2 linked regions of the Alligator mississippiensis genome follow. The protein of the gene in region 1 interacts with the protein of each later gene in a pairwise test. Links are inferred from orthologs where the notes say so. Each region holds a gene or a part of one and is shown in the gene's direction. Other genes may lie near its edges. The genes, in order: FKBP8 and ZFYVE27.

Region 1 (3,891 bases):
CGTTTCTGCCTGACGAGCCACGTACACGGGTTCGTGCCCCAAGAAACCATCGTTGCTCTCGGTCTGCAGGTCTCAGAACGAGATCGCAGCCCAAACTAGCTTCTAGCGAGGGGGGAAGTTACCAGAAAAATGGGAAAAAAAACCAGAAGAAGTAAGAAGGGGGAGAAACAAAGGCCGGAGACAAGCCAGCGTAACGAGGCGAGGCAGACACCTAAAGTCCTGATTTTGCCCTACAGCGACGGGGGCGAGTCACGGCCCCGCCGAGCGCTGCCCTGCTTGTCCCCCGCCGCCTCCCGCCCTCCCCGCCCGGGGCTGCCTCCGCCCGCCCGGACTGAACGAGGCCTCGAAGGTGCGTCCTCGGGGCGCGGGGCGGGCGCTGCCCCGGCGGGGGCTCCTACCTCCCTGGAGCAGGCAGGGGCGCCCCCCCCCGGCACTCACATGTTCTTCTGGGCCAGGATGATGGCGTTGACGTCCTCCGCGTTCACCATGCTGAGCACCCGGCTGCAGAACACGTCGGAGGCCGTGGGCTCCATCGCCCCGTCGGCGGCCGCCTGGGGACACGCGGGGGGCCGGGGAGGCGTCACGGGGCAGCCCCCCACGGCAAAGCACCCGCCCCTTTGCCCCCCCCCAACCCGGGCCTTGCCCCTCCCCTCCTGCGGGCGCACCTGTCCAGCCCCGCGGCCTTCACATGGCGGCGCCCGGCACGGGGGTAGCTCGTGGGGGCCCGGGGCTGGAGCCGCACTTCCGGGATCAGGGGTCACGCCTGCGTGACCTCGGACGTCAGCGCGCCGCGCCACGCCGCACGGGGCCGCCCCTGCAGGCGGCGCTCTAGCCCGCGGTCCTCCCGACTCGCGTCCCCCGCGGGGGCGTGGCGGAAGGTAGCGAGACACCACCAGGAGGCGGGGCTTCACGCGTGTCCAGCGCCGCGGGGCGTGGGCGGCCGCGGGTTGGGGGGGGGAGGGGGGCATTAAAGCGGCATAGAGACGTGGAACAACGAATCATGGGGTGGGGGGGCGTGGGGTCCTCTCGCGGCTCCGGAACCAGCTGGGTCTCGCACCTGTTGCTGCCCCATGAGCGGCGACGGCCCCTTTAAGGCGGCTCCACCCACCCACCCCCCCTTCCCTCGTGACAGTGTCCCCCGCCCGCCAATGGCAGCCGCGCTCTGGGATCAGCTGAGCCAATGGGAGGAGAAGGGGGCGGGGCCCGAGCAGCTGACTGCCGGGACCGGTGGGTGCTGGGGGTCGCGGCGCACGTGGCCGGGGGAGGGGCTGCGGGCCGGGGCCGGGGCCGGGGGCGCTGGCAGGGGACCCCCTCCCCCCACGGGAACCTGCCCCAGAAGCGCCCGGGGGCCGGGGCTGCCCCGGGGGGGCCCAGCCAGGTCGGGGAGGGGGGTGCAGGGGAGCCCCCCCCCTGCCACCGGTCCCTCCCAAACCGGTCTGCTGCTTGCTCACGCCCCCCTTCCCGCCGCCTGCCCCGCGGGGGTCTCCTGCCCGGCAGCTGCATGGCGCCTTCCCGTTGCGCCGCATCGCAGCCTAAGCCGGAGCGGCGAGGGGTCCGGGCCTGGCGGGAGCTGCTCGTGCGCAGCTGGTGCCCGGCACGTTTTCCTTCTCGTGCTGCCGGGGCGGTGCGTGTGCCCCGTCGGACGCTGCCGGGCTCGGAGCCTCCTGGCTGTGGGGCGGGGGGTCGCTGGTCGCAGCCGGGGGGTCTCGACGGGTCCCCGAGCCTGGAGCGACGCTGCCTGCGCCAGCGCTTGGTGGAGTCGCTTCAACCTCCCAGTCGCTCGTGTTGCAATCGCGGCCCGCGCCGCTCCGGTCCGCGCTGCAGACTGAGAGGCAGCCAGGCGGGCTGAGAGCCGCGTGCCCTTGCTGCAGCCTGGCTCCGAACTCCAAGTTCTTCCCATCCCGCGCCTCGCTCCGACCTAACCCAACTCTCTCCTCCTGCCTCCCCAGGTCGCTCGTGCCGCGCAGCCATGGCTTCCGGAGGGGAGGAGCCGGCCAGCAGCCCCCTGGACTGGGCGGACGCCAGCCTGGACTGCTGCTCCCCCGACCAGGCCGAGGCCGGCGCCGCCATGCTGGACAGCAGGGAGGACTTCGAGGTGCTAGATGACGACGAGGAGGACCTGAGTGAACTCCCCCCTTTGGAAGATGTCGGGAAAGGGAAGGCGCCACCCGGCAAGGAGGGCGTCCAGGCCTCGGGGCCAGAGCCTGCTGGGGAGGGGGCGGGCGAGGAGCCACCGGCAGCTGAGGAGTGGCTGGACGTCTTGGGTGAGTGCCTTGTAGTGTGGGGCTCGCTCCTGAGCGAGGGTGTGAATGTGCGGGGATCAGGTGAGGGCAGGCGAGTGGCACGGGCATCTCGCTCACCCTCTCCTGCCTCCCCTCCGTGCCCAGGGAACGGCCTGCTCAAGAAGAAGACCCTGGTGCCCGGCCGGGGCATGGAGAGCCGGCCGAGCAAAGGCCAGGTCGTGACCGTGCGGCTCAGGGTGATGCTGGAGGATGGCAGCGTGGTGGAGGAGGACCCTGGCCTCACCTTCACCCTGGGAGACTGCGACGTCCTGCAGGTGAGCGCGGTGCCCTGCACGGAGCCTGGGGACGGCGCAGAGAGGGGTCTGCCGGGCAGGGCCTGGCCCAGGTGTCGGCGGCTCCCACCGCCCGGTTTGCTGCCATGGGAACACTGGAGCCCGTCCGCTGCCACGTCCAGTCTAATTGCCCACTGCCCCGACGCCTGGTGCTTCCTGCCCCGCAGCGCCCCTTGCCCTCCGCTGCTCCTGCTAAGAGAAGGGCTGCTGATGAAGGGACGTGAGGGCTCACACTCCCATTGCCGTCATGCCCTGTGCTGGGCTGTGGGGTCCCTCGTTTGTTGGCTGTCCCTGCAGTCTGGGAGCTGGGCCCTGAGCATGTCTTGGACCCCACTGCTTCTCAGCCTTCCCACCCCCACCATGGCTTCCCCCTGGGGCCTTCTGCTCCTGACGGGGCAGTGCCCCCCTAACCTCTCCCCTCTCGGCTCCTGCAGGCGCTAGACCTGTGCACACAGCTTTTGGAGATGGGAGAGACGGCCTTGATCACGTCTGATGCAAAGTACTGCTATGGCCCCCAGGGCAGGTGAGCACAGGGGCTGGCCGGGCCCTTCGTCCCTGCGGGGGCCTCGGGGTGGCGGGGCCAGGTGTGGCCCTGGATACCTGCATAGCTGCTGCGAGGAGGGATCTCCCCAGGGGCCTGTGGAGCGAGCGGCTGGTCTTGGTCTGTCCCGATTAGCCCCCTTGGCAGCTGGCCCAGGTGTGTGTGTGTGTGTGTGTGTGTGTGTGTGTGTGTGTGTGTGTGTGTCACGGGCCCGGCACTGCTTCACCTTTGTGGGGTGAGGTTTCTGCAGGCCGGCAGCACGGCAGAGCTGAGGGAGGCCTGCCTGCCGTGCTCCCGGTTCCATCGTGTGTCCAGAGGCACCGGTCTCCAGAGCTGTACAGTGACGCTAATGCCACGTGGCTCGTGCGTGGGCAGCTGCACGCGAGCGATACCAGGCGGAGGGCGGCTGTGCTTGAGACTGAGCTGCCGAATGGGCCTGAGTGGCCCGGGGGGTCTGCAGCCCCAGCTCGGCCTGCCTTGCCCTGCCCCGCGTTGCACAAGCGGCGTCAGCGTATCCCTTCCCTCCGTGCAGGAGCCCTGGCATCCCGCCCAACACCGCCCTCACTCTGGAGGTGGAGCTGCTGGCCGTGCAGGACGCCCCTGACCTGGAGCTGCTCGGCGGGAAGGCCAAGATCGACCTGGCCAACTGCAAGCGGGAGCGCGGGAACTTCTACTACCAGCAGGCCGACTACGTGCTGGCCATTAACTCCTATGACATTGCCCTCAGGGTCATCGGCTCCAGCTCCAAAGGTGCCTGCCTGCTCCGACTCGCTGC
Region 2 (3,891 bases), on another chromosome or scaffold:
AATTCCTTATTTGAGCCGTTATACTTGGTGTGGGGGGTATGGGGGCTGCACTTAGCAGCATGGCACGAAGAAACCGCGCTCTGGGCCGTGCAGGACTCTGGTCAGGGGTGTCTGGGGCGTCCAGCGGTGCCACGGAGGCATGGCGCGGGGTGGCCAAGAAGGATTTCCACCTCTAATCCAGCCCCAAAACAGCTCCTTATTCAAGCCATTGCATTTAGTACAGTCGCTGGAGGGAGGAGGGGGGCTTTGCGCTGACAGCGTGGCAGAGCCAAACCGCGCTTCGGGCCGGACAGCGCTCTGGGAGCGTCGCGTGGGGTGGGGTGGGTGCCCCAACAAGGACTCCCATCTCTAACCCCAGCCCAAAAACCAGCTCCCTGTTCGAGTCGTACGGAGCACAGCAGCCGGGGGTGCCAGGGCACGCAAAACCAGGAAAGAGGCACGGCGTGGCGTGGCGTGGCGTGGCGTGGCGTGGCCCAAGAAGGATTCCTGTCTCTCATCCCAGCCTAAACTCCAGTTCTGTCTTCGGGCCCGCGTGCTGGGCGCGGCGTCGGGGCGGGTGTCTGGGGCCAGCCTGGCACGGCCACACCGCGCTTCGGGCGGCAGGTCTGCGGTGGGTCGGTCGGGCTGCTCGGGGCAGCCCCCAGGGAAGCCTGGGGCAGCCCAGGAAGGTTTGGCCCCATAATCCCATGCTATCCTGACCGGGTTTAGGGCTCTACTCGCCCCGGGGGTTGTTACCCTGCCCGGCTCCCTCTCTCCAGCGTGGACTTCATTAGTAACAAGCTTTTATTAAGTCTAGATTAGCTTTGGAAAAGGAGCCGACGACAGCCAGCCCGTGTGCCCGGGGAGGGTCCGCGCCGGGCGGGGGGGGCGCTGTCCCCCGGGGAGGAGGCTGCCCGCGAGCTCCAGCCGCGCCCGAGCCGCTTGCATGCCCCAAGGGGCGGAGCCTCCCGCCGGGCCCCGATTGGCTGCCGCGCGGCGAGTGGGCGGGGCCCCAGGCGCTGCCCGGAGGGAGGCTCCCACTTCCGTCCTGCCAGCCTGAGGGGGGCGCGGCGGCGCGCTGACGCCACGCGCGGGCGGAAGAAGCCCCCTCCTGCCGGAACCCGTTCCCTCTTCTGCCCTTCTCCGGCGGAAGTGACGCGCCAGGCGGAAGCGAGGATGCAGGCGGCGGAGCGCGAGGCGGAGGCGGGGGCGGGGGCGGGGGCGGCCGGGCCCGAGCCCCCCGCCGCGCCGCCCGCGCCGGCCCCCCCCGCGCCGCCGCCCTTCGACCTCTTCCGTCTCGTGACGCGGCGCCGCCGCCTGAGCCTCTACCTGGAGCCGCTGCGGGACGCGGCCCGCGCCGCCCGCGCGCTGCTGCGGTACGAGCCAGCAGGCCGGCCGGCCGGGGGCGGGGCGCTGACCCGGCCCCGCCCCCTAACCCCGCCCTCCCTCCGTGCCCGCAGGTGGCAGCAGCCGCTGTGCTCGCTCCTCGCCTGCCTCGGCCTCAACTTCCTGCTGCTCACACTCAGCCGAGGTGCGGGGCGGGGCGTCGTGCGGGGGGCGGGGCCGTGCCGTGGGGCGGGGCGGGGCGGGGCCGTGCCGTGCCGTGCGGCGCGGCGGGGCTGACGCGGGTGCGGGCCGGCCCGCAGCGGCGTGGTACGGGGTGTGCGCGGCGCTGGTGGCGCTGCCGGCGGCGCTGGGCTACCTGCAGGAGACGTGCCGCGTGCGCCGGCCGCCGCGCGAGCTGGCGCGCAGGAAGCACCACAGCGTGCGGCGCCAGGACCTGCCGCAGGCGCCGCTCTCGCGCTCCGAGGCCATCGCCGAGGTCAAGACCTTGTAAGTGGCGGCGCGGGGTCGGCGGCGGGGTCGGGCCCCGCTGGCGGCGGCCCCTCACGCGCCCTCCTCTCCCCGCAGCCTGATCCAGCTGGAGGCCTTCCTGAGCCACGTGTGCGGGCGCTGCGAGGCCGCCTACCGCGTGCTGCGCTGGGAGGACCGCGCCGCCTCCACCCAGTGAGTCGCCCCGCGGGTCGGGTCGGGGCGCCCGCTCCACACGGTGTTTCAGGCGTGCTCTCGCCCCTCGTTTCCTTGGGGTGAGCGAGGGAGCGCCCTGTCCGCAGACGCCAGCAGGACGAAACGCTTACGTGGCCGCGGGCGTCCTTTCGGCGGCCTGGGTGCCAGGTCGCTGTCTGCTGCAGCTGCCCGGCGCTCGCCTGCCTGCGGTCGTCGCTGGCCGGCCGCGCCGGAGACGCGCGGGGCTGCTCCGAGCCCTCCGAAAACCCGCAGCCTGCCGCAGGGTTGCAGCCCCCTGGCGGGGTTCGTGGGGGAGGCAGGGGCTGCAAGCGGGGGCTGCCCGGTGCTGACCCCCGCTCCCCCCAGGTTCTACGGCGCGCTGCTGGGCTCCATCTGCGTCCTGTACCTGCTGCCGCTCTGCTGGGTGCTCGCCCTGCTCAACAGCAGCCTCTTCCTGGGCAACGCCGAGTTCTACCAGGGTAGGAGCCCGGCTCGGGGCGAGGCCAGGGCCCGGCTGCCCGCGGGGAAGCTGCCTGGGCTGTTTGCAGCGGGGGGGCAGGACTGGGCCCGGCTGTGTCGCTGGCCCCCACCAGGGGGCAGCAGAGGTCCATGGTGGGGTGCAGAGCCAGTGGCAGTGCCCCCCCTCCCCCCCCCCGCCAGACACCCCCAGACCTTGTCCCCGTGCAGGGCAGTCCCGTGGCCTGGGGCCGCGCCAGGAGGCAAGGGTGGCAGTGCGGTGCCTGTGGTCCCTACCAGCCTGGGCCCGTAAAACACGGGGGCAGGTAGGGATCGTGGAGGGGGCTGCTGGGCACGGGACCCACCTGGCTCCGATTCCCTGTCCCCACAGTGGTGCTGGAGTTCAAGGCCACAGTGGAGCAGCAGCTGGGCATCAGGCCCATTGAGAGCCCCTCGACCTCACAGCCGGCTGAGATTGAGGCAGGTGCTGGGGCAGCTGCGCCCCTGCCGGATCGGACCCCCACACCCACCAGTGCCGAGGTGAGGGTGGAGAAGGGTGCAAGGTCATGTCCTGTTTGGGGACCCTTGTGCCACAGGACATCAGTGTCATCGCCGCCCCTCACCCCCGGGCCTGACCTTGGGTATGGTCCCTGCCCTTGACATGGTACATCTCTAGGGTCCTGATCCTGGGAGTCGGTCTAAACACTCCCCTCCCTGGCTCCGCATGGGTCCCATCTGCTCTGTGTCCTGGGGGCTGGGGCAGGGCTGGCCCTGGTGACGCCACCTGTTCCCCAGGACCTGACGCCTGGCAGCGTGGAGGAGGCAGAGGAGGCAGAGCCTGACGAGGAGTTCAAGGATGCCATTGAGGTGAGGGAGTGGGGTGGTAGGCTGCGTTAACACCAAGCAGCAGCTGATGCGCGCGCCAGGCGTGGGGGCTGGGGGTGCTGCACCTGCCTCCAGGTCTGGCAGCAGGCGATGCCAGGAGTGAGCTGGGCCCACAGCTGCTGCCTCAGGCAGGTGCATCCTGGTGCTGGGGGATGTGCTGGTGCCCACTGCTGCCCCACCCATCTCTGCCTTTCCTCTCTGACCCATGCTGCGGGAGCAGGAGAACCAGCTGCTGGGCCTGGTGAGTACCGCGGGGCCCTGCGTGCTCGGCCACAGCCCCGCGGTGCACTTGGGCTGGTCCCCTCCTCCTGCTCTGGCCCTGCAGGTGCATCTCATACATGGTGCCAGGCTGCCTCTGTGCCCTCCTGGCTCCAGGCAGCACTGGTTCTCCCCAGCCTCCGCCCCCTGGGTGGCACGTGGTGGGCAGGGCAGGGGCAGGCGGGAGTTCCCCATGGGCACTGTCTGGCCTGTCCCCAAGGAGCTGCTCTACCCCCAGGAGGACGACGAGAGTTCGCAGTGCTCGGTAGAGTTTGACCTCCCGGACAACGGCTTCCTGAGCAAGAA

The links.
Region 2: the proteins of FKBP8 (region 1) and ZFYVE27 interact in binary tests that used the Homo sapiens proteins (3 or more experiments, as listed by UniProt). The link is inferred for Alligator mississippiensis from reciprocal best matches to the Homo sapiens genes FKBP8 and ZFYVE27.

What each region holds. Positions count from the first base shown.
Region 1 is NC_081839.1:1,088,061-1,091,951, reverse strand, and holds the start of FKBP8 (peptidyl-prolyl cis-trans isomerase FKBP8), read left to right. Parts: upstream 1-1,133; 5' UTR 1,134-1,148; coding exon 1,149-1,227; intron 1,228-1,309; exon of another isoform or gene 1,310-1,624; intron 1,625-1,949; coding exon 1,950-2,264; intron 2,265-2,387; coding exon 2,388-2,557; intron 2,558-3,009; coding exon 3,010-3,098; intron 3,099-3,648; coding exon 3,649-3,866; intron 3,867-3,891. Other genes in the region: KXD1 (kxDL motif-containing protein 1), read right to left, coding at 439-551, 666-968. UniProt on the Homo sapiens protein: Constitutively inactive PPiase, which becomes active when bound to calmodulin and calcium. Seems to act as a chaperone for BCL2, targets it to the mitochondria and modulates its phosphorylation state.
Region 2 is NC_081829.1:100,729,613-100,733,503, forward strand, and holds the start of ZFYVE27 (protrudin), read left to right. Parts: upstream 1-1,140; 5' UTR 1,141-1,155; coding exon 1,156-1,355; intron 1,356-1,439; coding exon 1,440-1,510; intron 1,511-1,625; coding exon 1,626-1,812; intron 1,813-1,890; coding exon 1,891-1,986; intron 1,987-2,352; coding exon 2,353-2,465; intron 2,466-2,833; coding exon 2,834-2,982; intron 2,983-3,237; coding exon 3,238-3,309; intron 3,310-3,547; coding exon 3,548-3,568; intron 3,569-3,805; coding exon 3,806-3,891. UniProt on the Homo sapiens protein: Key regulator of RAB11-dependent vesicular trafficking during neurite extension through polarized membrane transport. Promotes axonal elongation and contributes to the establishment of neuronal cell polarity.